4 linked regions of the Pelodiscus sinensis genome follow. The protein of the gene in region 4 interacts with the protein of the main gene of each other region in a biochemical or structural test. Links are inferred from orthologs where the notes say so. Each region holds a gene or a part of one and is shown on either strand. Other genes may lie near its edges.

Evidence for each region.
Region 1: the proteins of PEX5 (region 4) and PEX7 form a complex in vitro, tested with the Homo sapiens proteins (3 studies listed by BioGRID). The link is inferred for Pelodiscus sinensis from reciprocal best matches to the Homo sapiens genes PEX5 and PEX7.
Region 2: the proteins of PEX5 (region 4) and PEX13 form a complex in vitro, tested with the Homo sapiens proteins (3 studies listed by BioGRID). The link is inferred for Pelodiscus sinensis from reciprocal best matches to the Homo sapiens genes PEX5 and PEX13.
Region 3: the proteins of PEX5 (region 4) and alanine--glyoxylate aminotransferase are reported together in a solved structure, tested with the Homo sapiens proteins (2 studies listed by BioGRID and IntAct, with this or other methods). The link is inferred for Pelodiscus sinensis from reciprocal best matches to the Homo sapiens genes PEX5 and AGXT.

What each region holds. Positions count from the first base shown.
Region 1 is NC_134713.1:97,640,026-97,647,606, reverse strand, and holds the start of PEX7 (peroxisomal biogenesis factor 7), read right to left. Parts: upstream 3,015-7,581; 5' UTR 2,919-3,014; coding exon 2,807-2,918; intron 1-2,806. UniProt on the Homo sapiens protein: Receptor required for the peroxisomal import of proteins containing a C-terminal PTS2-type peroxisomal targeting signal. Specifically binds to cargo proteins containing a PTS2 peroxisomal targeting signal in the cytosol.
Region 2 is NC_134713.1:180,189,085-180,196,904, reverse strand, and holds the start of PEX13 (peroxisome biogenesis factor 13), read right to left. Parts: upstream 3,005-7,820; 5' UTR 2,941-3,004; coding exon 2,867-2,940; intron 2,790-2,866; exon of another isoform or gene 2,765-2,789; intron 2,523-2,764; coding exon 1,825-2,522; intron 1,153-1,824; coding exon 1,027-1,152; intron 1-1,026. Other genes in the region: tRNA pseudouridine synthase Pus10, read left to right, coding at 4,593-4,662. UniProt on the Homo sapiens protein: Component of the PEX13-PEX14 docking complex, a translocon channel that specifically mediates the import of peroxisomal cargo proteins bound to PEX5 receptor.
Region 3 is NW_027465993.1:1,582,355-1,589,759, reverse strand, and holds the start of alanine--glyoxylate aminotransferase, read right to left. Parts: upstream 3,016-7,405; 5' UTR 3,001-3,015; coding exon 2,836-3,000; intron 1-2,835. UniProt on the Homo sapiens protein: Peroxisomal aminotransferase that catalyzes the transamination of glyoxylate to glycine and contributes to the glyoxylate detoxification.
Region 4 is NC_134711.1:137,879,481-137,886,707, forward strand, and holds the start of PEX5 (peroxisomal biogenesis factor 5), read right to left. Parts: upstream 3,004-7,227; 5' UTR 2,807-3,003; intron 2,493-2,806; 5' UTR 2,451-2,492; coding exon 2,301-2,450; intron 1,867-2,300; coding exon 1,831-1,866; intron 1,651-1,830; coding exon 1,518-1,650; intron 1,308-1,517; coding exon 1,173-1,307; intron 1-1,172.

The sequences.
Region 1 (7,581 bases), on a different chromosome or scaffold from region 4:
GCCAAGTTTTCCAAATGCAAGTTGCACCTACCAAAACTGACACTCTCTGGTCCAGCAATATCCAGGATGTTCTTGCACCAGAGAACTTGGGGAGACTTGTGGCAGGAGGGCCAGCAATGTGGGGCCAGAGCCCCCAGCAGTCCATTGCAGCACAGGGCCAAAGCACCCAGCAGTCCACAGCAGTGCAGGGGTGAAACTAGAGCCCATGGCCCAGCAGCAGGGCTGACAACCTGGTCAACATGGGAGTCAAAGACAGCAGGGCTGATAGTCTGTCTGGGACCAGCAGTAGGGGGATCCAGAGGCAGAGGGACCAACTGGAGTAATAGAGGAGCCAGGAGCACTGAGAGGCAGCAGGCAGGGAGCCAGTGGCAGGGGATCTCCCGAGGTCCAGAAAATTCCATAATTCAGGACAAGTCAGGAAAATTCCATAATTCAGGACAAATCTGTACATACAAATAAGTACTTAAATATCTAAATGTCTAGTTAGCAACATAATGCCCTATTTGCACATACAAACGCATTAACTGTAACCATGTGAATATGCAAGGCTTCTGTCACTTTTTTTGACATCAAATCAACTAAAAAAAATCATATACAAGGCTGAAATGAGTGCCTTTACTACTGGATTTTCTTTCCAAAAGCAGTTCCCCTGATTTGCTAAACAGTATTTGGCAACATACTTTCAATATGTATTTTTATGAGTTTTGTACATATTTTTGGAAGTATTAATGGGTCACCCATCTCCACCCACCCATCATCCATATTGTTATGGTTGGTTAAATAGAAAAGATCTGGGTTTTTTTCCTCTTAAACACATTATCTCCCTCCCAGAAATGAAACAATACCAGAAAGTTTAGAATGAAAGAATCAGTACAATATTTAACTGCTATAAAGTAACCTGCTACCTAATTACCAACTGTGTTTAAGACTAGATCACCAGTTTGACCGATTGACCTCCATATGCTAAATACAGCAACTGAAATCAGACCAAACTCTTACAGCCAATGGGAGACTAAAGTACTATAAAATAGACATCCTTTCACTGCTATGAAGCAGCTACATCTCAGTAGTCTCAGCCAATAGTCTTTTTTTTCTGAAAGCAAAACACTCCTGGTTCTATTACTTCCATTTTAGTGAAACGGCAAAACATCAAATGGTTTCTGGTTAACTGGTACCCGGGAGCAGCTGGGGGTATGGGTTGCAGGGGCAAGGAGTGGGTGGCAGCAGAAGCTGGGAGCTTCTTGCACAGGAGTTGCTGGGAGCAGAAGGGGCAGGTAGAAGGGATGGGATGGGAGGCCACTTAAACCTTAGGTTTAACCAGTTAATGATTAACCAGCATTTTGCATCCCTAGTATCCTTAAGTGTCTGAAGGATTGGAATTCTATGCTGGCTTACTGTAGCTACATTCCTTCTGTAGCTAATGAAAGGCTATGGCTAGGTTAATGAAAAAGAGCAATGTTTTATTTTTGTTATTTTTAACAGAGTTTTTTTCTGCATCTGCTGTACAGGAACATAAGCACTATTTATAAAGTACCCATTTTTATTAGACATTGCAAATTATCATTTGTAGGACCTTCTGCCTGCAAACAGTAACAATACAATTCTTAAGGTAGATGAACAGTTCAGAATGTAATTTAACCACTAAATAAAGTTTGAAAAGCCTCAAACGTAATGCAAACAGACACTTCTGCATGTGAGTGCCAGGATTTATACAAGTAGCCCAACTGATTTTAACAGGTGTACTCTCATTGCAAATATTAGCATGACTGGGACTATGTGAACATATAATTTTTCTTAACATTCTCTCAAAAACTGCAAGTAATAAATTGGGTTTTAAATACTTATTCACTTTCAATAACCTAAACTTCTTCTTAGCAGAATACAAATTTGTTTGCAATACAGAAGCTTAAAGTTGACAGTACCCTTTATCTAAAATTAGAAAACTGCCACATCAGTAGTAGTAGCCTCCATTTTATATATATTTAGAAAATATTTGTAGTCTATGTGACCATGGGACTTTGTCTCTAAACACAGAGAAACTGAAAACTCTGATAGAACAGCAGAGTGAGAATGTGCCCTAACTCTTCAGCTCAGTAACTGACAGGTCAAAAGATCCCCGTGCATATTTCACATGCTAGTTAGCATGAGCAATCTCCCCACCCCGCGCACACACACTTCTGTCCACACAGGGGCAAGAGAAAAAACCCCACAAAACACGGTATTTTACTGATCTAGAGGACCAAAGTCTCAGAGGGGTAGTAACCCTGTTAGTATGTGCAAAAACAATGAGGAGCCCTGTGACACTTGAGAGGCGAACAGGTTGATTAGGGCACAAGCGTTCAAAAAGCAAGAAAGCTTCTGCCCTAATAAATCTCTTAAGTCTCTAAGTTGCCACAGGGACGCCTGGTAGGTTTTTCCTAGAGGACCAAGTCAGTAGCCGCACCCCACGTCCAGAACCGCTGTCTCTGGAAGCGGCACCCGAGGGGGAAAGAAGCCGCCCGAGGCCTGACAGCTGCCAGCGGGCTCCCAGCAGGGGGCGGACCAAACGCCGCTGCCCAGCGACACAGGCAGACCCCGCGAGCCGCACAGGCTGATGCGCGGGGAAGGCGGAAGAGACACGCGGAGGCCTCGGACCGGGGCACTTCCCGGGCTCCCCAGACCCGGCTCGGGCACCGGGCAGGGCCCCGCGGCGGCCCAAGGGAGGGCACGAGGGCTCCTCCTGCGGCTTCCGGGGGGTGGGCGCCCCCAGCAGCCCCGTCCCAGGATGGGGGGGCCGGGGGGGGGGGAAACGCGGCCCCTCCCTCACCGGCGATCCCGTAGTGCTGCGCGGCGGCGCAGGCCAGGCGGCCGGGCAGGTAGGGCGAGAACTCCGCCGCGTAGCCGTGTCGCCCCGGCAACCGGAAGGCCCAGGCGCTCATGGCCGCAGGGCCGGTGCGAGAAGCGAGGCCCCCTGACCCCGGCCCAGTCCCCGCCGCGCGCGCGCGCGCACGTGGGATCGGCTCCGGAAGCGCCCGGCAAGGGGGCGGGGCTGAGGAAGCGGTGCCGCCGCCCTGTGGGGCCTGCGCGAGACGCGGCCGCGCAGCTTCTCTTCCGGGGCCCGCCCACTGGCTGTTGTCAGGGGCAACAGGCCGGGTTGGGCCCCGCCCCCGGCCCGCTCTGGACAGGGCCTCGGGGTGGGACGCACGATTACAGCGGGAGCTCGAGCCTGGCGTCCCCCGACCAGCCCCGGAAACTGCGGTGAAACGTGGGGCCTGATGGGGTGCCCGTGCACCAGCATCCTCCTGCCCGCTGCCCGCCAGCTCCCTCCTCACCCGCCTTCGCAGCAGCTCTGAGGGGCGGGATGCGCACAGCTGGCAGGGCGCTCCGCCCTCCGCCGCCTTCTCTGCTGAGACAAGGCCGGGCTGAACTTGAGCCCACTGACTCCCGTGAGCTCCTCAGCCTACCTAGTATCAGAGGGGTAGCGTGTTAGTCTGAATCTGCAAAAGCGACGAGGAGTCCTGTGGCACCTTATAGACTAACTGAAGTGTTGGAGCATTAAGCTTTCGTGGGCAAAGACCCACTTCGTCAGATGCATGTGACGAAGTGGGTCTTTGCCCACGAAAGCTTATGCTCCAACACTTCAGTTAGTCTATAAGGTGCCACAGGACTCCTCGTCCCTTCAGCCTCCCTAGGGGATGTTGTGCGCTATGCAGGGGGTCAGACTAGCTGCCTTGGAACTTATGACTCTTCTCATCCTCAGTCTTCTATCAGCTGGTGTCAAATGAGCCTTGCTTCATTTACTTCCCTAGAGCTGTGCGGGCAGGCACCATCAAGGATCTGTCTTGCTGTATACAGGTTCTGCGCCTGATAGACATTCCTGAGAGTGTGCAGGGCAGCAATAAGGCTACATCTACACTGCAGGCTTCTTGTGCAAGAACCATTTTGCGTAAGAGTTCTTGTGCGAAAGGTCTTCCACAAGAGTGCGTCCACATTGCCATGTGCTTTTGTGGAAGAGATGTGCTTTTGCGCAAGAGCATCCATGGCAGTGTGGACACTGTCTTGCACAAGAAAGCTTTGATGGCCATTTTAGCCATAGGGCTTTCTTGCACAAGAAACCCCTGTTGCTTGTCTACACTGCCTTCTTGTGGAAGAGCCCTTGCGCAAGAGGGCTTATTCCTCACGGGGAGAGGAATAACGTGCACAAGAAGCCCTGTTTTCGATGCTTTACTGTAAATTTACTTGTGCAAGAATGCGCGTGCAGTGTAGATTCTCAGCAAGTTTTTGCACAAGAACAAGTGTTCTTGCACAAAAAGCTTGCAGTGTAGACATAGGCTAAATGTTTTCAGAATCAGTCTTTATATCCCCTCTTACTTGCAACAGCAATGGCTTTATTTCAAGCTGCTGCTAGTGCCACAACATTCATGTTGCTATATACGTAATGCACTATCTTGACTGAAACTAGTGTGAACTTGTCTACCCATTCTGGGAATCACACCTCTCTCAGTTGTGGTGCAACTATATCCTCAAAGACTCCGTTCTGTGAACTCTAAAGTGTGAGAAGTCTGAATGAGGCTTCTGAGGTGAGGATCTTATGAACTGTATACAGGCAGTCCCTGACTTACGCGGATCCAACTTATGTCGGATCTGCACTTACGAACGCGGCTTTCTCGCCCCGGAGCTCGAAGGCAGCGGTCAGCCACCTCGACCACCGGGGCAAGAAAAGCTGCTCCCGGTGCCCCTGGTCTGCTGGGGACCGTCTCCAGCAGACCAGGGGCACCACGAGCAAAGCCGCAGCCTCGGCGGGGTCCCGCGCTTCTGAGGCTTTGCTCTGGCAAAGCCTCAGAAGCGCGGGACCCCGCCGCTGCTGCGGATTTGCTCCCGGTGCCCCTGGTCTGCTGGGGACCGTCTCCAGCAGACCAGGGGCACCGGGAGCAAAGCCGCAGCGGGTCCCGTGCCAGAGCAAAACCTCAGAGGCGAGGCACCCCGCCGCTGCGGCTTTGCTCCCCGTGTCCCTGGTCTGCTGGGGGGGGGGGGGGCGCAGGTAGTGTGCCCCCCCCCAGCAGACCAGGCTTTTGTTGTGGACCCTCGGGCAGAGCAGCTGGGGTGCTGCCCGTTGGTCCCGCAGCGCCGCTCTGGGCACTACTGGACCAACCCTGCAGCACCCCAGCTGCTCTGCCCCAGGCGTCCCCAAGTCAGCCGTTGCTGAAACTGACCAGCGCTGACTACAGGAAGCCCGAGGCACAGTTGCTCTGCCCCGGGCTTCCTGGAATCAGTGGCTGATCAGTTTCAGCAGCAGCTGACTTGGGGTTCTTAAGTTGAATCTGTATGTAAGTCAGAACTGGCGGTCAGTTTCAGCAGCGGCTGAATCTGGACGCCAGTTCCGACTTACATACAGATTCAACTTAAGAACAAACCTACAGTCCCTATCTTGTACGTAACCTGGGGACTGCCTGTATTGTAATTGCTTCTGCCCTGAAACTATTAAAAAGGGACTTGGTACTTTTCTAGTGTGTGTTTACTTTTCTTGCTCCAGGCTGTTAAACCTATTCCAGTTAGGGACTTTTAAGGTGGGGCTCACCTGCAGTGCTGCCCTGAGCTGCAAGAAGGAGCGTGGGGAATGCCAGTACTTTGGTGGGGATGTGTAATATGTAAATCAAATAAGAAATTGGTCGATGTTTTGTCAGGTAGAACCGTCAATGACTGCAAAATCCTTGCTAAAATTAAAAAGCATATGCTACTTGTGACATTGAGCTTCAAAGCAGAGCGATACCATACAAAAGGCTAAATCAACATTTATTTATTATACTATAGCAATTCCCATATTATACCATGGACAATTTGCCACTGGCACATCAAAAAGTTGGAGAAAGTTCATCAACTGATTTTGCATACTATCTAGAAAGGTAAATATGAATAATAAAGTTCTGCAAAAAGGTTACACAAACAGAAGGCAATCATAAAAGGTGTATATTTTCTAGACTAGACATGCCCCCTCTACCTGATGTGAGAATCAGGATCCCAGCCAGCACCTCAGAGGGAGAACAGGGATTGAACCCCAAAGAATAATCATTTGAATCAACTGATTATATACAGAGTTACCATCATATAAAAGTATACTAAGTAAGGCCTTTCACGAAAACTTGTAATGTTCTTAAGTTGATGGTCATTATGAGAAATAATGACTCCGGTTATGAATTTATGTATTTCTGAATATATAAAACTATGGCCATAATTTGTGCTGTAGTCGTTTCTCAATATGGAGGAAAAGAAATAATAGAAAAAACAGCAATGGCTAAGTCTACACTCACCCACCCGCACACGCGCGCAGTTATTGCATGACTAACATAACAAATAGTTACCCTGCAAAGTGTAACAAGACTGCTGGAAGCCAGAGTGAGATTATTTTGCTTGTGGACAGGCTAGCAATGGCAGGACTTTGAGCTATAGCAGCTCAGCTTTAAGGCAGCCTAGGTTAGAGGCAGACAGTGACAGAAACCTCAGTGGGTCAGGGCAATCCCCAAAATACCACCCCTGTAGAATGGCCAACATTTCAAGGAAAATCTTACAAAGTGAATATTTAATAGGGATGAGATCAAGAGGTAGATAGAGCAGTACATGAAAATCCTGAAAAAGAACTTCATTCATTATAACAAAGGCCCAAATGATTCTCTTCCCTCAGAAAAACCAGTGAGAAGAGATTCTGAAGGCCCTTGCTGAGACCAACCGCATCAGCCCATGAGTTCCACCCAGGCACCCACAAAAGCTCAAGAGGTCTCAGGGATATGTAGGAAGCCAAAGCCAGCTATTGCAGAGCCCCAATGCCTCCATATTGACTCCCAATGACCCTGGTTTCCTGGCTGTGTGGCTAGCAGTGTGTACCTATGGTCACAGTAGCCGCTGATCAAAAGTCTCTGTGGAAAAGATAATGAAGTGTGGAACTATATTATCATTTGTTCTTAATTTGTTGAGGTATGGAGGGAAAACAGTAGACCCGACCTAACGCTAAGTGAAGTCTATGAAAAGACTCATAGACTTCAATAGGTTTTGGACCAGGCCACTGTTTAGATGCCCCTAGCCTGTCCATTTCTCTGCCTGTCTTCATCCTGACCATAGTCTTAAACCCCAGATCATACAAAATGGTTTCCACAAGTCCAGATGATTTCACTGTGCCCCATTTTCCTGTGAAATAAAAAGATCTGTTTGTACATCTCAGAAGCATGATCAACCTCTAGATCTGGGGTGGGCAATGATTTTTGATAGGGAGCCATTCAAAAGATTTTGGTAAGTGGTCAAGGGCCACATTTTTCTATAGCAGGGATGCAGAGTCTGGGACAGAGGTTGGGTGCAGAAGGGAGGTTGGGGTAGGGGACTGGGTTACAGGAGAGGGGTCTGGAAGGGAGTTTGAGTGGAGTAGGGGGTTGTGACTTGGGACAAGAGATTGGGGTGCAGAGCCTAGGAGGTGGTAAGGGTGCAGGAGAGGATTCTGACCTGGGGAGGGATGTTTGAGGGGATGTAGGGTCTGGGAGGGAGTTGTGGTCTGGTGGAGGGAAGTGCAGAGGGTTTGGATGGTGACCTGGGGCAGGAGGGCATGGTGACCTGGGG
Region 2 (7,820 bases), on a different chromosome or scaffold from region 4:
ATTCAGCCGCTGCTGAAACTGATCAGTTTCAACAGCGGCTGAATCTGGACGCCACTTCCGACTTACATACAGATTCAACTTAAGAACCCCAGGCATCCCCAAGTCAGCTGCTGCTGAAACTGATCAGCGGCTGATTCCAGGAAGCCCGGGGCGGGGCTTCCTGTAGTCAGCCGCTGGTCAGTTTCAGCAGCGGCTGACTTGGGGACGCCTGGGGCAGAGCAGCTGGGGTGCTGCTGGGTTGGTGCTGGGGTGCTGCAGACCAGGGAGACGCTGAGCAAAGCTGCGGAGGACCCGGGCGGGACCGCGGCGCTCATCTGTCTCCCCTTCCCCCCCCCCCCAGCAGACCAGGGAGACGCAGAGCAGCTTTTCTCGCCCCAGAGGATGCGGGCGGCGGGACCGGGCGTCCTGCCGCTCCCGTCGTCCGGGGCTAGAAAATCCCCGTTCGTAACTGCGGATCCGACATAAGTCGGATCCACGTAACTCGGGGACTGCCTGTATTTCAAAATTGAAACTGCAGTCTAGACGCAGTTATTTCGAAGGGAAAAAAAAAACCCTCTTTCGAAAGAACCCGTACTCCTGAAAAAATGAGAAGTATGGGTTCTTTCAAGAAAGGGTTTCCCCCCCGAAATAACCGCGTCTAGATTGCGAGTTAGGAAGTGGAAATGGCATGCCCTTCCTGGACTGTGCTGTGTGCAGCTGGACCAAGCCTCGCCAGCCCTTGCTCCACACCCTACCCCCTGCCAAAAATAAAAGCTCAACTATGCCTATGCCCCAACGGACCCTCCCCTAGCCTGGAGACCGGAGTCCTTCCAATGCCTCCTTGGCCCTGGAGTTTTTATAACATGTCGAGGGAGAACTGAGAAAGGAAAAGGCTAAGGACCCCTTCTCTAGAGCTTCCACACAATCACTGTCTGTTGAGACAGGCCAACTAAAATACATCTCCTTTGATCTCAAGAGCCTGTTTTTATGAATCTAAGCACTAAAAAGGTAATTAGAAAATAAGTCTACCATAAATCATAATCTTACCTTTGGGTGCTAATTTTAGCATATCACCAGCATGAAAAGAAATTTCTTCTTCTGAAACAGCAGAGAAGTCATATTCTGCTCTTCCCACTACATGATCATCCTCTCCATTTGCCCAGTTATTAGCCACTGTTTCACAGAAAAGTTAAAAAGCAGCAAAATCATCTGGATCTTTAAAGTGAAACTCAAACTAAATTTTTCCACAATTATACTAAGTATACAGGACTCTGTAACATTTATGAAACACTTTATATAATAAAAGTGTTGTACAAACATTTATTATAGTAACAGGCACATAGGGCACTATGCAATTACCAGTCTTTTTAGGTGCTTCAAGCAAGGCTTCAGAATCCATATTTAGGCCTCTGCATATAAGTGTCCTGGTTTGCAGAAGTTTCTATTTCAAATCAACACACTGATAGACTGAATAAAGCAAGCAAGCAAGCAAACTCCCAAGTTTTTTCCTCAATAATGAATGTTATTAGTAAAAGGCTATACTGCAATACCTAGTTGAATCTTGTTGCTACATAAGTGTCTGTATAAGAATCCTAATTCAGCAGCTGTATGCATGTGAAGCAGACCCAGAACTCAGCTGTAAAATCTTCCCTTCTCTAGAAGTAGGACCTCTTTGAAAGAGAACTGAATGGATCCATTAACGTGGGATCAAAGAACAGGCTATTTTAATACCTTAATCACAATCACCATATTTAATTCAGCATGTTTAGAGTATAATTTACTAATATAATTATGGCAAGAATATTCCGTAAACTATACACCCTTCACTTTGTTGATCTCCTTTACCTGTTTCTTCATCACTGTACGTGGAGAGCAGCTTCCAGATGAGATAGGGGCCCCCAAGAATAACAGCAAAGAACAAGAAAATGGGCCAGGATTTTGCTGAGTTAGCTGCCCGGTCCTCAGAGCCAATGCGAACCACAGTTCCTTCACTTTCAGCCCACAAATCCTCATTCTCAGAGCTCTTCCGCAGACCCAGCAGCCGCTGCAGTCGTTTGTAGAGGTATCTTATAGTTCTGACTAATGCAAAAGCTGAAAACACCTTTGTGAAGTGTATTTTGAGTCGGGAGAAATGATTGGCTACATCCAATACAGCCCGGAAACTGTTATAGACAGCTGAAAAGGTAGCATCCATCATCATACTGACTGAGGCAAATGCATGCACAATACTTTCAATGGACTGAAATGCACCTCTGCTGCTCTCTTCGGCCTGCTGAACAAACCTGCTGGGCGGCAGATCATCTGTACGAAACCGATTATAACCCAAACCGCCATATCCGTAACTATAAGGGCTGTAGCTTCCATAAAAGGAGTTTCCATACGAGCTGTAGCCTGGAGAAAAGGAACTGCTGTACGCAGGTCTGAAAGTGCTCAGGTTACTGTTCCCTGCCTGCTGTGATGGTCTTGGCAAAACAGGCGGAGGTACTCGTGTGAGTGTGGGTTGTCCAGGCCTGGTCAGCAAGCTGGCACCCAAATCAGCAGCTCTAAGTAAATCCAGAGGATCAAAATCAGGACCATAGTCATGTTAATATTCACATTGCCCCAACGATCTGCATGCACTGTGTGTAGGGGAGGGGGCAAAGTCCACGTGACCGAGTCGAGGGAGGGGGGCATGGCGGGGTCCCTCCCACAGGAAGTCTCTCTCTCCCCCTCTGTGGGAAGGGGGGCAGGACCTGGCTGGGGGAAGATCCTGGGAGAGTCTCTCCCCCCCCCACCCCCGGAGTTGCCATTTTGGGTTGGCTGTACCCCCGGTAACGTTTCACTAACGACCGCTCTGCAGGCTCCAGGCCGCTCCTGGCAGGCGGGAGAGGGGCGGGGCCGCACTCACTGGAAGGCCGAGGCCGCGGTGCCCGCGAGGCGCCGGTTCTCCCAGGGCTTGGGGGGCGGCGGCTGAGACGCCATCTCCTGCGCTGCAGCTCCGCGGCGCCCGCCCGGCCGAGCCACCCAGGCCAGTCCCGCCCCTTCCCTCCCCACCTGACCGCGGCCTTGCCAGGCCTGACAGCGGGAGGGCCGAGCGGCACAGCCGCCGGAAGGGGCGGTGACTACGGGCCCGGCCGCGCGTGCGGATCGATGTCTCTGGCTGCCGCTGCTCAGGCCTCCCCAGCTTTGCTTTGCTGCCTTCTGTCCGATTCCCAGAGCGTTTCCGCCCTCCCTGCTGAGGGTCGCCGGCAGGCTCGTCACTGGCGGCAGCGGAAGGGCACGTGATGCGAAAGACGCGGCGGCCACTTCCGCGAAACCCCGGGTAGAGTGACGGCTCCGGAACGTTCCTCCTGGGACGCCTGTTGCCGGGGGGAGGGTAATGCGCGCGCACGCTGCGTCCAGTGTGCAGACAGTGAATGGTTCCCGCTCCTTGCGCCGGGCGGAGCAGGTAGGAGACGCGCCGGGGACAGAGCAGCTTGCGGGTCCGTGCGGGAGTGTAGCGCCCGAGGCAGGTGTTCAGCCCTGTGGCGGCGCGTGGTGCTGCGCGGGGATTTGCGGCCTGGCGGGGCCGAATCAGCTCTTCTGCGGCCCTCGGGCTGTCAGGTTGGGGGCGGGGCAAAATGAGCGTGTCCGAAAGCGGGAGAGGGCTCTGGGGTGAGCCCGGCGGTTGGGTGTGCGAGAGACTCAGGGCAGGAGGTGCGGGGTCCTGGGTTTGGGTGGGAGGTTGTGCGGGAAGGAGCTCGGGGCTGAGGCAGAGAAATGCGGTGGGGGAGTGGGGTGCTTTATTTTTGGTAGCCCAGACTCTGGGGAGGGGAGGAGAGAGGGCAGGAGACAGTTGTATGTTGCCCTGCTCTGGCCTGCAGACACTGTCCTCCATAGCTTCCATTTGCCATGATTTATCTACAATAGGAGCTTCAGGGAGGGGAGCTTCTGGTGCTTTGCAGCTCCATCCCGGTGGTAGTGGAGGAGGAACTGGAGTGCACAGAGCTGCCTTTCCCCCTCAGTCTTTCAGGGCTAAAACATAAGGGCTTTAGTGGCTGCAACCTAGAGCCCCAGGTGGAGGGGGTCTTGCAAAAAACCCTGTGAGTTGGCATCCTGAAGATCTTTTGGGGGGCCCCCTTAGCCCGGGGCCCTAAGCTGCAGCTCCTAAAGCCCCTTTCTTAATGTAACCCTGCCTAAAGGCGTGGCCATCAGTGTCCACCCATGTTGCTCTAGCTGGTTTTGTATCAGGCTGGGCAGGGTTATCTTCTTTTAAATGCACTGGGATGCTTGTGATCATCCTATTGCTCAACCTGTATATAGTTGCATAGGCACTTTAATGTTTAATTGTGATAGGGATTCCCCTTAATATATTTGAACATATGATCTTTGTGTGAATGAACTTAATAGCATTCTATCCAATATGCACTCAGATTTCCACATATGGTTAAGGTGGGTGCCATTATACATTCATCGGCTTTAAAGTCAAAAGGTCTAGGGAGAATTTTGTGTCACAGTGCATTTGCAGCTCTCCCCCTCTGCCTGACTATTTGATTTCCCTGCAGAATTATAGATTCTGATGGGGAAGCAAAGAGAAGATGAGAGAAGGGTCATATGCCCCTGCTGAAGCCTGTCAGTTCTGGAGCAACTAGGAAATGCGTAAATCATTGGTGGGAACATGCATGCGAGACACTCTCTTGCTGACTATCCCAGTGCATGCAGGAGGTGTGTGCTTCTTACTCCCATTGTTGCACCCACCCGATGTTAACATTGAGTTACACGTGACCGTGCTGTTCGTAAGCGCTGATTGCGTTCGTAACTCGGGGTTTGCCATTTGCAACAGTTTTGGTCGTAAGTCGACCGTTCACAACTCGGGGACCGTCTGTAACTTTATGAATTCGTATTGGTTAGTCGACTATTCTGTAGTCTCTGGGGCAGGAGCTGGCAGCCAGTGTACTCCAGCCTCACTCCCGAGGAGCCCCTGGCCACTCCGTGCTGCTGCCTGTGATAGAGGCAGCAGTACGGGGTAGCAGAAGCCACTGTCTGGGGTGGGTCTGAGCTCCTACACCCAGGGTGATAACATATAAGCTTTTGCTTATTGGTTAATTGACTACAGTATTATATCCCTGCCCTGCAGAGGTATAGAGCTGAGACAAACAGCTGTGAAGAGCCTTGGCCTTGAAGTGGGGCACCTGTGTCTCCTCAGTTTTGCACCAGAGGTCTATTAGCCATGCATGACCCAACCCCATGAATCCTCTGTAGTAATGTAGGACTTATCTTCGCTACCATACTAAATCAGTGCCGCTGCAGTGCATCTGGTGAAGATGCATTATGTTGATGAGAGAGCACTCTCTGATCCACCTAATTACTCCACTGTAAAAGAAGAAGTTATGTGGGAGATTGTCTCCTGTAGGAACTGCTTTAAATGCATTTAAGTTATGTTCCTCAGGGATGGTTTTTTCCACACTGCTTAGCAACTGAGCTTATATCGACTTAAGCAGTAGCATAGATAAGTCATTAGAGTTGTCCGCATCCCATATTGGGGGGAGGGATAGCTCAGCAGTTTGAGCATTGGTCTGCTAAACCTAGGGTTGTAAGTTCAATCCTTGCAGAGGCCATTTAGGGATTTGGGGCAAATATTTGTCAGGGATGGTACTTGATCCTACTGTGAAGGCAGGGGACTGGACTCAATCACCTTTCAAGGTCCCTTCCAGTTCTACAAGATAGGCAATCTCCATTAATTTTATCCAGCAATTGGGGATATTTGGTAATAAGGCACAGATGGGTCACCTGCCAGTGTAGGCAGTCTCATCACATGGACTCCTGTGTAAATTTACCAGTCTGTCTAAAAGTCGGTTGTTTTTCATCCCCACTGTAATCTTGGGAGAACTTTACTCCTCTGATAGATTTCAAATCTACATTTGTTGTTGGTCAGTTAGTATTGATTTGTCTCAGTGCCAGCACTGACCAGTAACTTAAATAATTCCTCTTTTTCCCTTGTATATATCCCTCTGATGTATTTATAGAGAGCAATCATATCTCCCCTCAGCCTTTGTCTTGTTAGGCTAAGTAAGTGAGGCTCCTTGAGTCTCCTCTTGTAAGGTAGGTTTTACAGTCCTCTGATTTAGTGACACAAATGCTTAACTAGTAAGCCTCACCCTTAATGGGCTTATAGTTTTTGGATGTATTTTTTTCTTAAAAATAGTAACTATATTAGAAATTCTCCAATCATAGGATATGATCCCCGAGTTTATGGATTCGTTAAAAATCCTTGTCATGGGGTATGCAATTTCATATGCCAGTTTCTGTAATAGTCCTGAATGGGGATTATCTGGGCCCCTGGTTTGGTCTCATTAAGATGTTTAAGTTTATTCAGACTTCTACCCTGGATGTGATTATTTTTACTTCCATTACCTCATTTTCATCAATTACACTGACAGTACCCTTAAGCTCCTTGTTTTCTTTATTAAAAACGGAGGCAAAAAGTATTCTATTCAGTCAGCAATACTCAGGCCTTAGTGATTCAAGAGCCAAATTAGCAACCAACATTACTCAAAAGAGACATAGTAGTGTGAATTCATTGTTTAATTTGCTATAGTATTTCATTGTTTTCATTTGCTATAGTTGATATCGAAAGTTTTCTCATAGCAAATAAGTTAGTAATTGGTTAATAACATAGTAAAAGCATCTTGATTATTTAATAGCTTAGATTAGTTAATAGTTAAATCACACAGTGTGTAAATATCTTGCTGAAAAGAACAATGGGAGATGTCCCTTGTGAGCTGCAGTCTCAGTTTTGCTGGTTTAAGTGTAGGGCTATGCCTAGACTATCTAATCTCCACCCCATCCTCAGTGCTTAACTGTCCCACTTCTTATTTCCTTGTTTTCTTTTTCTTTGTATAGCTATAGAACCTTTTATTTTGGGTTTTAATTTCCTTTTCTTGTTTTTTCTATACACTGACCTCCAAGAGTTAGGATAGATCTTCCATTCCTTGTAGGCTTTCTGCTTTCTCTTGATAATCTGTTTGACATGTTAGCTCATCCAGTGTGGTCTGCAAGCCATCCTTTGCTTGGGATGGTGGCTTCAGGTACTTTAAGTAAAAAGTTGCAGAAACTAACTCCAACCCTCCTCCACCTTTACATCCTCGAGTTCTTCAGTTCAGTCTTCTTTTCTACCTAATTCCCTTAATTTTTTAAAGTTTGTCCTTTTGCAGTCAAGGACCCTAGTTGCAGATCTAGTTTTGTATATCCTTCAATTTAATTTAAACTGAATTAGCTCATGATTGTTTGAACTAAGATTGTCCTCTACACTGAGTTCTTCCATGAAGTCCTCACTACTTACCTATATTTTATCTAAAATGGCATCTCTTCTTGTTTTGGTGACTGGTGAAGAAATCTATCAGTTCTCACATCCAGGAGTATCTGGGTCCTGCCATTAATAGTAACACTTGTCCTCCAATCTATGCTTGAGAAATCAAAGACTCCCATAATCACACAATTTGCAGGAGTGTTTCATTAAAGATGCCTCTATTCATATCTAAATTGGATTCCAGGGTCTGTAGCTTATCCCAAGCACAATCACAATAGGGCCTCTTCTAGCTTTCTTCCCCAAAGTGATTTTGGGGAAACAGACTCTAGGGCTGTGTCTACATTGGCACCCCTTTCCGGAAAAGGGATGCTAATGAGACCAGTCGGAATTGCAAATGCCGCGGGGGATTTAAATATCCCCCACGGCATTTGCAATTCCGACTGGTCTCTTAGCATCCCTTTTCCAGAAAGGGGTGCCTATGTAGACACAGCCTAGGTGTCATTGTTGGAGTGGTTGCTGTGTCAGTACTAGATGGATTTCTTTTCCTAAGTAACTATCCTTGGGATTTCTGCTG
Region 3 (7,405 bases), on a different chromosome or scaffold from region 4:
GGGTGCACTGGGGGGCGTAGGAAAGGTCGGATGGGAGGGTGCACGGGGGGGGCGCAGGAAAGGTCGTATCGGAGGGTGCACGGGAGGGGCGTAGGAAAGGTCGGATCGGAGGGTGCACTGGGGGGGCGTAGGAAAGGTCGAATTGGAGGGTGCGCGGGGGGGCGCAGGAAAGGTCGGATCGGAGGGTGCCCGGGGGGGCGCAGGAAAGGTCGGATCGGAGGGTGCACGGGGGGGGACGTAGGAAAGGTCGGATGGGAGGGTGCACGGGGGGGACGTAGGAAAGGTCGGATCGGAGGGTGCACGGGGGGGACGTAGGAAAGGTCGGATGGGAGGGTGCACGGGGGGGGACGTAGGAAAGGTCGGATCGGAGGGTGCACGGGGGGGGACGTAGGAAAGGTCGGATGGGAGGGTGCACGGGAGGGGCGTAGGAAAGGTCGGATCGGAGGGTGCACGGGGGGGGACGTAGGAAAGGTCGGATGGGAGGGTGCACGGGGGGGCGTAGGAAAGGTCGGATGGGAGGGTGCACGGGGGGGACGTAGGAAAGGTCGGATCGGAGGGTGCACTGGGGGGGGGCGCAGGAAAGGTCGGATCGGAGGGTGCACTGGGGGACCGTAGGAAAGGTCGGATCGGAGGGTGCACGGGGGGGACGTAGGGAAGGTCGGATCGGAGGGTGCACGGGGGGGACGTAGGAAAGGTCGGATGGGAGGGTGCACGGAGGGGGGCAGGAAAGGTCGGATCGGAGCGTGCCCGGGGGGACGCAGGAAAGGTCGGATCGGAGGGTGCACTGGGGGGGGCGCAGGAAAGGTCGGATCGGAGGGTGCACTGGGGGGGGCGCAGGAAAGGTCGGATCGGAGGGTGCACGGGGGGGACGTAGGAAAGGTCGGATCGGAGGGTGCACGGGGGACCGTAGGAAAGGTCGGATCGGAGGGTGCACGGGGGGGCCGTAGGAAAGGTCGGATCGGAGGGTGCACGGGGGGGGACGTAGGAAAGGTCGGATCGGAGGGTGCACGGGGGGGACGTAGGAAAGGTCGGATCGGAGGGTGCACTGGGGGGGCGCAGGAAAGGTCGGATCGGAGGGTGCATGGGGGGGACGTAGGAAAGGTCGGATGGGAGGGTGCACTGGGGGGGCCGTAGGAAAGGTCGGATCGGAGGGTGCACGGGGGGGCGTAGGAAAGGTCGGATCGGAGGGTGCACGGGGGGGCGTAGGAAAGGTCGATGGGAGGGTGCACGGGGGGGACGTAGGAAAGGTCGGATCGGAGGGTGCACTGGGGGGGGGCGCAGGAAAGGTCGGATCGGAGGGTGCACTGGGGGACCGTAGGAAAGGTCGGATCGGAGGGTGCACGGGGGGGACGTAGGGAAGGTCGGATCGGAGGGTGCACGGGGGGGACGTAGGAAAGGTCGGATGGGAGGGTGCACGGAGGGGGGCAGGAAAGGTCGGATCGGAGGGTGCACTGGGGGACCGTAGGAAAGGTCGGATCGGAGGGTGCACGGGGGGACCGTAGGAAAGGTCGGATCGGAGGGTGCACGGGGGGGCGCAGGAAAGGTCGTATCGGAGGGTGCACGGGAGGGGCGTAGGAAAGGTCGTATCGGAGGGTGCACGGGAGGGGCGTAGGAAAGGTCGGATGGCAGGGTGCACGGGGGGGCGCAGGAAAGGTCGTATCGGAGGGTGCACGGGAGGGGCGTAGGAAAGGTCGGATCGGAGGGTGCACTGGGGGGGCGTAGGAAAGGTCGAATTGGAGGGTGCCCGGGGGGGCGCAGGGAAGGTCGGATCGGAAGGTGCCCGGGGGGGCGCAGGAAAGGTCGGATCGGAGGGTGCACGGGGGGGGGCGTAGGAAAGGTCGGATCGGAGGGTGCACGGGGGGGCGTAGGAAAGGTCGGATCGGAGGGTGCATGGGGGGGGACGTAGGAAAGGTCGGATGGGAGGGTGCACGGGGGGGACGTAGGAAAGGTCGGATCGGAGGGTGCATGGGGGGGACGTAGGAAAGGTCGGATGGGAGGGTGCACGGAGGGGGGCAGGAAAGGTCGGATCGGAGGGTGCACTGGGGGACCGTAGGAAAGGTCGGATCGGAGGGTGCACGGGGGGGACGTAGGGAAGGTCGGATCGGAGGGTGCACGGGGGGGACGTAGGAAAGGTCGGATGGGAGGGTGCACGGAGGGGGGCAGGAAAGGTCGGATCAGAGCGTGCCCGGGGGGACGCAGGAAAGGTCGGATCAGAGCGTGCCCGGGGGGACGCAGGAAAGGTCGGATCGGAGGGTGCACTGGGGGGGGCGCAGGAAAGGTCGGATCGGAGGGTGCACGGGGGGGGACGTAGGAAAGGTCGGATCGGAGGGTGCACGGGGGGGACGTAGGAAAGGTCGGATCGGAGGGTGCACGGGGGGGACGTAGGAAAGGTCGGATCGGAGGGTGCACGGGGGGACGTAGGAAAGGTCGGATCGGAGGGTGCACGGGGGGGACGTAGGAAAGGTCGGATCGGAGGGTGCACTGGGGGGGCGCAGGAAAGGTCGGATCGGAGGGTGCACGGGGGGGACGTAGGAAAGGTCGGATGGGAGGGTGCACTGGGGGGGCGCAGAAAGGTCGGATCAGAGCGTGCCCGGGGGGGGCGCAGGAAAGGTCGGATCGGAGGGTGCACTGGGGGGGGGGGCGTAGGAAAGGTCGGATCAGAGCGTGCCCGGGGGGGGCGCAGGAAAGGTCGGATCAGAGCGTGCACGGGGGGGGGGCGCAGGAAAGGTCGGATCGGAGGGTACCCGGGGGACCGTAGGAAAGGTCGGATCAGAGCGTGCCCGGGGGGCGCAGGAAAGGTCGGAGTGAGCGGCCGTGTTCAGTTGCAGCCCTCACCTGGAACATTTCCTTGTGGAGGTGTCCAATGAGCTGGCGACCTCCTGCAGCCAGGATCCGGGGCGGGACGGTGGAGGGCCCAGGCCCCAGGAGCAGCCTGTCCGGGATGGCCAGCGGCTGGCGCAGCGCCTCGGGAGGGGCCACCAGCAGCTGCTGGGAAGCCATGGCGCGGTAGCGGGGCGCTGGGGGCGCAGGCAGCCAGAGAGGAGCCCGCGCCGCTGCCTGGAGCCCTCGGGAGGCCCTGCCCATCGCCACCCGGTGCATCTTCTGGGGCAGAGATCACAGAGTGGACCTTCACCCTGCCGCTGGGCCTGCTGCCACGGGCCCCACAGCCTGCTCCTCTCGGAGTCTGCCCTGCTAGCCGCGGCCACTCCCAGCCCTCGCCCTGCCACACTGCCCTGTGCAGCCCTGGTAATAAACGCCCGGGTCCAGCGCCACGCAGCCGCCCCCCGACGGCCCCGCAGCTCCCTGGCTCCTCCTCTGTTCCCTCTGCCCGTGAACTCTGCACCGGGGGCTGGGCGGGGGCAGGGTGCTGCTCCGGGGGGGTGTTTGTCTAACCTGCCCGGTCGGAGCGGCTTTCCCCACAGCTCAGCGAGATAACAGGCCGCTGCCCCGCTCCGCCCGATGTGGGCGCGTGGGGAGGGGCCTCACTCGCCGTCCGGGGGGTTTGCTCTCATCACGGTGCCCGAGCTCTGGTAGCCGTGAGAGGTGCAGCCGCAGTCCCTGAGCACTCCGGGACCTCGCCCGAAGAGCTGCCAGCCTCAGTGGCCGAGATGCAAGGAGGATGGGAGGCAAAACAGGCACAGAGAGGTGGGGGGGTCTCGCCTTAGGCCAGCTGGCAGGGCAGCGGCAGAGCCGGAGCAGGCCCAGCTCTCCCGAGTCCCGAGTCCTACTCACGAGGTCATTGCTCCAGGTTGCTCAGACCCTGGGGAGTGGAAGTCCAGGATGTTTCTGTGACGGGCCGGGCCAGGTCTGGGCGCAGCTGAGGGCGTCCGCTCAGGGCAAATTGCTCAAACTTGGGGCTCCCCACACCCCCCGACTGGAGACCTTCCGAACAGGCCACAAACCAGTCCCACCGAGCACCTCAGCTGCCAATCTGGCCAGCCTGAAGCCTCACGAGCAAAACCCCGACACCCCAGCTCTCTCCGTGCCCCAAACAGCCCCAGGCCTGCACACAGGTGCGGGGTTATAGAACCCAACCCCACCTACCCCAAACGGGTTCTCCAGTCCCAAAGAACCAGCCACAGCTCCCAGGTCAATTTACCCTCTGGATCTTGCCCTCAAATCACACTGGGCCAACCCTTTACAATCTGAAATCTAAAGGTTTGTTACTAAAGAAAGAAAAGCCTGAGAGTGAGGTTGTTAAAGTATCCTACATGACATGTGTGACGGCGCGTTGAGGTCCCCCGTCTCCTGCACCCCGAAATGGCACAAACAGACTGCACCAGCCGGTGGAGTAGAGGAAGTTTATTGCCTCTCCAGGATACAGCACAGCACAGATGGAATCTGGTCACAGAGCTGGGCTAGGATGCCTCAGGCCCCCTTGAGTTGGGGGGAGACCGGGCCCCTAAACTCTAGCCCCTTCCCTAGGCTGTCTCCTCCATGCTCCCCGACAGCCAGCCACTAACTAACTCTCTTCCCGCCCTGCCCCCCAGCCAGGGCAGCCTCCACCTTCCTTTGTTCCTCTCCATGGGGGGTGTCTGGCCACTGGTTTGCATAGTGACTCATCCTGTTTTGCTGGGTCGTGGTCCCCACGACAGCCAGTGGGGGTTACCCCAGAGCCAGCAGCATAGAAACCAGCCAGGTACCCCCACTACGTCACAACATGCATCGACTCTCCAGTTCTCGACGCAGGCTCTAGCAGAGATTGTTACAGCTGCTGGCTTAAAAGTCTCTGGTTACATCCCATGTCAGGATGGGTCCATGGTTCTTTCTGGCTCATTGTTCCCTGCAAGGCTGCATCTGGGATTCGGAGCAAAACCAAAGACAAGAAATGGAGTCTGCCACATGGCATTTTACATCCATCCCTGGTCTCTTCCCAGCTGGAGAGGGTCACATGGCCAGAGCCAGGTGTGTCTTCGGCATTTCGAGATCCATTGTCCCCAGAGCCTCGCTCATTAGCATAGCCATTGGCTGAGCATTCCTGGCCCATAGCTCAGCCACAGACAGACGTTCCCAGCCTCCCTACATGGTCATAACTCCACACAGACGTTGTACAAGCACATGAAGAGCAGATACAGACTCAGGGGAAGTTTAGCTTTTGTTTGACACCTCACATGGCCCCTTTGTACCACTTTTGGGGCACCCCCCCCATGGCCCGGCTGCTCCCCTTAACATCCAGTAACGTGACAGTTTCCCGACACATCCCTCCGGCCCCTTAGCCGTGGGCAGCGTGGCCCAGGTGCTGCAGTGCTTGTGGCCTGGGCTCCGCAGCGCAGCTTGGCAAAGGGGAGTCAGGTGGCGTGTGGGCGCTCTGAACTCTCACAATCTCTCTCTTCCTTCTCATGTTCTCCTCCCCCTCCCACTTCCCTGCCCTGCCTCACTCTCAGCCCCACTCGGGCCCAGCTCCGATGCCTGGGAAGGCTGGCGAACGTCTCTCCAGTGCTGTAGGACCAGGCCCAAGGTGCCAGGGAAGTCCATGGGGTGCAGGGTGGCGAGGCAGGCCCTGGCTTAGCAGGTGTGACGACCCAGGGCAGCTGGCTGCAATGGTTTGGTGGCGGGCAGGCATGCCAGGAGCTGGGTGAATGGTTTTCCGTTTCCTGAATAAACTGCCAGAGACTGCGGCCCTGTAATGAAGGCAGCCATGCTCCGGAGGCTAATTACGAGCTTGCCTGAGGCAGCAGGCTAATCCGGCACCTGCAGCCAATTAAGGGCTGTGGGGCTGCTTTAAAAGGTTTCCCCCCAGGTAAGGGAGTAAGGTTACTGGGTAGGTTTAGAAAAAATAACGGACACACTTGGGCAGGGGGGACTGGGAGGGGGGGCAGGGGCAGGGTGGCTGTGGGAGATGGGGGGGCTGGCAGGCGGGGGGTCAGGGCAGCACTGCTGGCCGGAGGAGATGGGGCTGATGAGCAGGGGGTTAGGGCAGCGCGGCTGGCCTGGGAGATGGGGGAGAGTTCGAGGGCAGCATGGCTGGCCAGGGAGATGGGGGAGAGTTCGAGGGCAGCATGGCTGGCCAGGGAGATGGGGGAGAGTTCGGGGGCAGCATGGCTGGCCCGGGGAGATGGGGGAGAGTTCGGGGGCAGCATGGCTGGCCCGGGGAGATGGGGGAGAGTTCGGGGGCAGCATGGCTGGCCCAGGGAGATGGGGGAGAGTTCGGGGGCAGCGCGGCTGGCCTGGGAGATGGGGGAGAGTTCGGGGGCAGCATGGCTGGCCCGGGGAGATGGGGGAGAGTTCGAGGGCAGCATGGCTGGCCAGGGAGATGGGGGAGAGTTCGGGGGCAGCATGGCTGGCCCGGGAGATGGGGGAGAGTTCGGGGGCAGCATGGCTGGCCAGGGAGATGGGGGAGAGTTCGGGGGCAGCATGGCTGGCCTGGGAGATGGGGGACAGTTCGAGGGCAGCATGGCTGGCCCGGGGAGATGGGGGAGAGTTCGGGGGCAGCGCGGCTGGCCCGGGGAGATGGGGGAGAGTTCGAGGGCAGCATGGCTGGCCCGGGGAGATGGGGGAGAGTTCGAGGGCAGCATGGCTGGCCAGGGAGATGGGGGAGAGTTCGGGGCCAGCATGGCTGGCCCGGGGAGATGGGGGAGAGTTCGGGGGCAGCATGGCTGGCCCGGGGAGATGGGGGAGAGTTCGAGGGCAGCATGGCTGGCCCGGGGAGATGGGGGAGAGTTCGAGGGCAGCGCGGCTGGCCCGGGAGATGGGGGAGAGTTCGGGGGCAGCATGGCTGGCCCGGGAGATGGGGGAGAGTTCGAGGGCAGCATGGCTGGCCAGGGAGATGGGGGAGAGTTCGGGGGTCAACATGGCTGGCCAGGGAGATGGGGGAGAGTTCGGGGGTCAACATGGCTGGCCAGGGAGATGGGGGAGAGTTCGAGGGCAGCATGGCTGGCCAGGGAGATGGGGGAGAGTTCGAGGGCAGCATGGCTGGCCCGGAGAGATGGGGGAGAGTTCGAGGGCAGCATGGCTGGCCAGGGAGATGGGGGAGAGTTCGGGGGCAGCATGGCTGGCCCGGGAGATGGGGGAGAGTTCGAGGGCAGCATGGCTGGCCAGGGAGATGGGGGAGAGTTCGAGGGCAGCATGGCTGGCCAGGGAGATGGGGGAGAGTTCGGGGGCAGCATGGCTGGCCAGGGAGTTGGGGGAGAGTTCGGGGGCAGCATGGCTGGCCAGGGAGTTGGGGGAGAGTTCGGGGGCAGCATGGCTGGCCCAGGGAGTTGGGGGAGAGTTCGGGGGCAGCATGGCTGGCCTGGGAGATGGGGGAGAGTTCGAGGGCAGCATGGCTGGCCCGGGGAGATGGGGGAGAGTTCGAGGGCAGCATGGCTGGCCAGGGAGATGGGGGAGAGTTCGAGGGCAGCATGGCTGGCCCGGGAGATGGGGGAGAGTTCGGGGGCAGCATGGCTGGCCCAGGGAGATGGGGGAG
Region 4 (7,227 bases):
AATCTTGGACAACAGCAAACTGGGTTGCTGTTTGCAATGAAGAATTCATTTTCCTGATGCAAATTTCTAGCTCTTCATCAGAGCCTGTCAAAGATCATCATAAATGTTAATTAGATGCCTGTCTCCAACAGGTATATGAAAGAAATAAATATGGATGGTTGCACGGATCAGTGAAAAGCAGCCCCCTCGGGGGTGGGGCATAGCAGCTATTTAACTGCTGCCCAACAGTTTAATGTAGGGATTCAGTTGGTTGAAGTGGAGGGATCTGGAGCAGACTACAGTCCATATCACACCACCTATATGCTGTATAGCCTTGGGCAACTCTTCCCCACCTGGTGCAACAAGCTGGTGCAAATCTCTCAGGACACTCTTATTTCAGTCAAAGGGCATTGTTACGGATGTTAAATATCAGTTACTTGATTAGTCGATTAACCTCATGAATTCTTATCAGTTAGTCAGCTACTCTAGAGTCCCTGGGCAGCCCCTGTCCAGTGGGGGAGGGGTCTGAGCTCCTGGACTCAGCACGAGCCAGAACTGAGACAGGCTGCCTGCTCCTAATACACTTTAAATGCAGAGGCACAGCAGGAGTAGGTCCAGGACCCAGTGCAAGCCAGGACTGAACTGGGATGCTGTCCAACCTGCTAAAAAATGTGCTGGCAAGGGGGGGGGGGGGGGCAGAAATGCATGTAGTCTATAGCAGTGGTGCACAACCTGTGGGTCGCAGATGTCTTTCCAGGGGGGTCGTGGTGCTTAGATCTGGCCGGCCAGGGGGTGGGCCCAGCAGTTGGTGGCCTCCGCAGTACAGGGGTGACAGATCAAAAAAGGTTGCACACCACTGGTCTATAGCATTAACCTATTAGCTTTTGCTTATCAGTTAAGCGACTACACTATTACATCCCTAGCGTGGATGCTGGTGGCTTGTGATGTGCAGGACCTCAGACTAACTGATCTGGTAGTCCCCTCGGGCCTTAAACACGGACTCTAGATCAGAGTAATTTCACCCCGCATACTGTACCAGTGTGACCCACTGAGGCACGTGCTGCTTGTGCAAAGTGCCCTGAGCACTGTCTGGAGTGTCTCTCTCACATAACAGACAACTCCTACATGGGAGAACAGAGTAGGACATACTACCAGGCAACACACCACCCAATCTACACAAGAGGAGCCTTCACCTGTCACCTCTGCAATGAACTCTTGTGACCAATCAGCTTCATTGTAATCTGCAGAGACATCAGCTGTGGTATCTCCTGTCGCCAGAAATTCCTGGGCCCAGTTCTCAGACAGAGCCAGGGCTGCCACACCTGGAGCTAGGGACAGCAAGAGATGGGGGAGAGTTCAGTGACAAGCCCCAAGTGCCACACCCCCACAAGGATTAAATTCTTGTCTCTTAATCTACAGACACCCCTTGCTCTAGCTAAGCAGGCTTTTTAAATTCAGTCCCCCTCCAGACATACCACCTCACGGGGAGGTGTAGGTAGGGGTTGCAGAAGCCCCAAACTCTATCTCCACCACCTCACCTCGTTGCGGGGCTTGGCGGAAGCTTGACTGCTCAATCTCCTGCATCTCAGCCAGCAGATCATCCATTTTAAAGGTGTGTGGGGCACGGGAGAGTAGGGGGGCATTCTGTTCTTGTAGGAATTCTGCAGCCAGCTGTCAGGGAGAGAGAAAGAGTGGGTGAGGGGGAATACCCAGCAGAGACTCTGGGACAGAAAACAGGAGAAAGAGAAGGGAGGACAAAAACCAGAGAATGAGAGATGGAAAGAGTGAAGAGGAATCAAGAAAATGTGGCAGTAAGAAAGGTGATATGGAGAGCAATACAGTTATTCTTACCTCATCTTCAGAGGCCACTCCCAAAGGTTTGGAGACCTGTGGGAAAAGTAGGCAAACAATCACCCCAGCGGTGGGACCTTGCCTACAGCATCAGTCACCCATTATGATGGGAATGATATGACACCCCCCACACATAGCAGGACCAAAATCCCACCTAGGCAGACCCACTCTATGGGTGAGGCAGCCACCATATCTCCCCTTTCTGGGCAGACCTCTGCTGTGACTGGACATACATCCCCTCACCACCACCACCACTACTACTTTAACTAGTGATTCCACAAGCAGCCTCCACAACAGGGATAGGGCAACCAGACTCCCTGCCTCCCCACTCCCACCTGCTCTGATAGCCTCCCCTGTACTCAGACCCTCACTCCTCCTCCCCCCCAGTGCATCCCTGACCCTCACTGATCCAGGACCCCGCCTCACAGGAGCTGGCAGAAGGACCCTCCACCCCATGCCCTGGTACTCACTGTCTCTGCCCCAAGACCTGCAGGCGGCCAGGCCGAGGAACCCTGCAGACCCTCCTGCCGCAGGGCCTTGTCCTGGGTGAAGTGGCCAGCCAGCTTCATCAGGGGGTTGGAGCCCCCACACTCTGGCTCCACCAGCTCCCTCATGGCCATGGTGGGGGTAGGGGCGCTGCACCCGCAGGACCCTCACCCCGTCTGGGGGAGACAAACACAAAGCTCACGTGACCGCAGGGCTCTGGGGCGGTGCTCGCTCAGCACCCACCTGCCCCGTGAGCAAGCTGCGGGGGCCACCCGAGCGGGCGCAGCCCCGGCGGCCGAGCGGAGGGCAGGGGCGGCATGGCCAAGGCCCTTCCCCGGCAGCGCCCGCAGCCTGGCGCGAGCGGAGCGGCCGGAGGGAAGCGCTGGGGCTGCCACGGGCCAGGACAGAGGGGGGGCCTCGCGCCCCCCCCCCCGGCTCTTCCTCTCCCCCCGCGCTCGGGCACCTGCAACCCGCCCGCCCCCCTCGCTACCTGGCGCCCCGGCGGCCCCTGCAGCGCAGCCCGCACCGCGCACCGAGCAGCAGGGGGCGGGGCGCGCGCTTAAAGAGACAGGCACCGCGCTCCTCGCCGCGGCCCGGCGCAGGGGAGGCATCGCCGGCCTGAGGAGCCAGGGAACAGCCCAGCCGGGCTCGCGTGTAGCCCAGTGTCCCCCCAGGAGCGAGGTTTCAAAGGCCACAACTGGGCTCTTAAAGGGCCACGCAGCCCGAGACGTGCCCCACCCGCCTGCGCCGCTCCGGCGGCTCTTAAAGGAGCAGGCCGCCAAGAGAGCATCCCGGGGCCCGCCAGGGCTTAGCCTGCCGCAGAGCTGAGCAGCACGCTCTGAAAGGGCGAGGCGCCCGACAGGGACTCCAGGGGCTCCACGCCTGTTCAGGACACGTCTCCACTAGGCAGAAAGGGGGATTGGAAGCGTGTGTGTGTGTGTGTGTGTGTGTGTGTGTGTGTGTGTGTGTGTGTGTGTGTGTGTGTGTGTGTGTGTGTGTGTGTGTGTGTGTGTGTGTGTGTGTGTGTGTGTGTGTGTGTGTGTGTGTGTGTGTGTGTGTGTGTGTGTGTGTGTGTGTGTGTGTGTGTGTGTGTGTGTGTGTGTGTGTGTAGCCAAGGCAGTTGTAATTCTAGCACACTGGCTGATCAGGGTAAGCGGGGTGAGGGAAGCCAGCCTGCCTTTCCTAGTGAAAATAAGACTTAAGACAGGCCAGGGCCAATTGCCAAATCAGAGCATTATCAATAAGTTAGTGAAGTGCTAGGTCTAGGTGTCTTGAGAGGCCACCCCTGCATGCTCTTACAGGACCAGATACCATGGCTACGTCTAGACTGGCATGATTTTCCGGAAATGCTTTTAACGGAAAAGTTTGGCACAGACGCTTTTCCGCAAAAGCACTTTTTGCGGAAAAGCGTCTGTGCCAATCTAGACGCGCTTTTCCACAAAACCCGATCGCCATTTTCGCGATCGGGGCTTTTTTGTGCAAAACAAATCTCAGCTGTCTACACTGGCCCTTTTGCGCAAAAGGACTTTTGCCCGAACGGGAACAGCATAGTATTTCCGCAAGAAGCACTGATTTTTTACAGTAGGAAGTCAGTGCTTTTGCAGAAATTCAAGCAGCCAGTATAGACAGCTGGCAAGTTTTTCCGGAAAAGCGGCTGATTTTCTGGAAAAACTGGCCAGTCTAGACACAGCCCATGTGTAATGGTCAGTGTCGACAGCCCCTCCATCAGAAGGTATCCTTTATTTAAATTCTTGACTTGCTTTCATATGATGTTGTTGTACAAGGCGTTCCCGCTATAAGTCACCCTGGTATACATCCGTTCCACACTAAAGTTGTTGACGCTTATAGGAACTGATACATTATAAGTCCTTCCATTCCCTGCTCTTAAGTCATGCAAAAAAAAATTTTTTGCATAAATGAAAGTCAGCCGCGGGAGAAAAAAATTCCCCGTTTTAAGTTTTGCTATAAGTCCAAGGTTTTTTTGGAACGTATCTTGGACTTATAGTGAGGATGGCCTGTATCCAATCTGGTCTGGAGTCTAAGAAGAAATTAAGTGCAGCTTGTGTGTGCTGGTGTTTTACTTGCAGTTTCCTGATAAATGCTCTAATAAGTAAGACAGTATTACACATGTTACAATAACAGAAGAAGCTGTCTATTGGTCAGAGCAGTGTTTCCCAATTGGTGCTCCGCGGAACCCCAGGGTTCCACAAAGCAAAAGAAAGGGTTCCGTGAGAATGTGGCACTCCCCTGTCCTCTCTTAAAGACACAGTCTATTTTGCAGCTTTTTTTATTTATTTATTTATTTTTTGCTCGACCAGTTCTGGTGGATCTTTATTTATTTATTTATTTATTTCTTAACACATTTTACTCTGGTAACCCTAGGGGTTCCTTGAAATTCTTTTAAGCTGAAAAGGGCTCCGTGGCCAAATAAAATTGGGAAACGCTGGGTCAGAGGATCAGATCGGGAGATCAATCAGTACATGGAGTTCTGAAAGTGACAGGTAAATTGAGGGGGCAAGACCAAAGAACTCTAAAGAGCTAAGCACCATTTGAGAACAAAACCCTCAGAAAACACTATGTGATATTCTTAATCACTGCACACAGAAGGTCCAGTGCTGAAGGAAGGAATCACAATTGTGCAGTGAATGAAGCTGTTCGTAAGATCCCTGCCATTTTTTCCCCGAAGTTAGAAGACATTTAAATAGGGTTTCCATATTTGAACTTTCAAAAAGAGGACACCCCGAGAGGGAATATATCTGTATTATATTATATTATATTATATTATATTATATTATATTATATTATATTATATTATATTATATTATATTATATTATATTATATTATATTATATTAATGTAACACATTGGTAGATACTGATACAGATACATTCCCTCTTAGGGGTGTCCTCTTTTTTGAACATTCAAATATGATAACCCTACATTTAAAGATTATGAGGAAGGACGGGCTGCAAAAAGAGACAAGATGGTCTTGTGGCTTAGGCAAGTTAATACTGTAGAGGAGAGCTCAGTCCCACCCCTGCTTCTGCCTCAAGCTTCCTATATGATGTTGGGCAAGTTACTTAAACCAGAATATTATCAGGTGGCCACTAACAGTGCATTCCTTATTTTCTGAATGCCCAAATTTAGATAGGCCAGCTTGGAGCCTGATTCATAGTAGTGCTGAGTGCTCACAAGATCAATGGGAGTTGTGGGCATATGGAACATCTGGCACTGGCAGTAATACTGTGTGGTTTGGAGACATGTGCACAGACTGGGTAATTAAGAAATGTCTGAGTTCTAATTCTTGTTTTGCCATTGATACGCTTTGTGACCTCAGGCTCAGGCAAGTCTCAATCTCAGCTTCCCCATCTTTAAATTGGGAATAATGGTGCTTTCTTATTTCATAGTATAAATGTGGAGAGCTTTTTATTAGTATTTGTGAGGCTCAGCTACTATACAGATGAGCACAAAAATACATAAGGAAATAAATAAGAATAAATAATGCATGACAGGGGTGGTGTGCATTAAATAAGAGAAAGGGACACATCGTAAAAGATGAAGGAAAATAAGAAATATTGAACAGTTGCCTCTTTCCCATTATTGCTAACCCCACGTGTTCAAAAGTCATGACATTTTAAAAATAATAAATGCAAGGTGTGGGGGTTGTTTGCTTTCTGTTTTTTTGAGCCTTTCTTGGAATTTGTGAAAGGAAGGTATTGAGGCCTACCCAGAATATGTCAAATGAGCACCAGTTTAAATGTAAGTGTAAAGGAAAGGCAGCATCGTGAGATACAGGAGATGTAAAATAAAAACAAAATTTGATTGGATGACCAACAATAACCCCGCTTTTAGGGAAGTAAGTAACTCAGACGGCAGTATGCAACAAAGTGCTGATTACCCCAAATGGAGCAGACGAAAGTTTTTGTAAGGGCAGAATGAGACAACAAAAATCTAACATCAGCAATTGTCAGGCGAGTGGAGGAGTACCAAAATACCGAAACAGGGTATATAAGGTTGGATGGAACAGACCAAGAGTGGACGGGTTGCGAATCCAAAAAGCTAGGTCTGATCAACCAGAGCTCCCTCCCCGGCGCTGAATCTCGCTGCTGCACATAAGCTCCGAAAGGGGAACAACACCGGTCGTAAGTTGCAACAAAAAATCCAAAAAAAGGAAAAACATAAAGAAAAGAATACCTCCTGAATCTAAGCAATGCTTCTATCTTTCTTAATGTAAGTATTATATATTTGTTAACTCCATAAATTGTTTAAAGGTAAATCAGGAGGGTATATCTGTACGAGAAGTTATTATTTCTTGTTTTTTTTAAACTGTACTGTTTTTCTGCTTTTTCTTTGTATATTATATTGTCTTAAAAGAATAAAAAATAGTGAATTGATTTACATTGAAAATTAATTATAAAGTAAATAGAAAAAATAAAAAATCTTTGTTTGACCTTAAAAAGAAGTATTCCTCTGTCTGTGGTTTCAAATTCTTTAAAGAACCAAACCCGGTTACTGAAATAATTGCTGTCAAGATTGTCTTCACAACTATGAGGGTTAGAAACTTAATTTTTAAAATGAAAGCTGAGATTCTCATGTAATGAATGACTCCCAGAGCTGAGCTTTAAGAAAATACACCAAATATCATGAAACCTGTGATGTAATCATGAATTGGCAACACTTCATTCACTATGCACCGCTCCACTGAAAGAGACAGTAGTTTTGTGGTAAAAACACAAGACTTTAAAAATGGTATCTTAATGTTGCACAGAGAACCTTAATTCTGATCATCCTAACTTTTCAATGCTTGATATTATGACCTAAATAATGTTCTTTTGGCAAAGTTTATTTGCATGTAATCTACATAGTTGTGTATATGTAGACAGTCAATTTAAACAGCTCCATTGAAGTCTA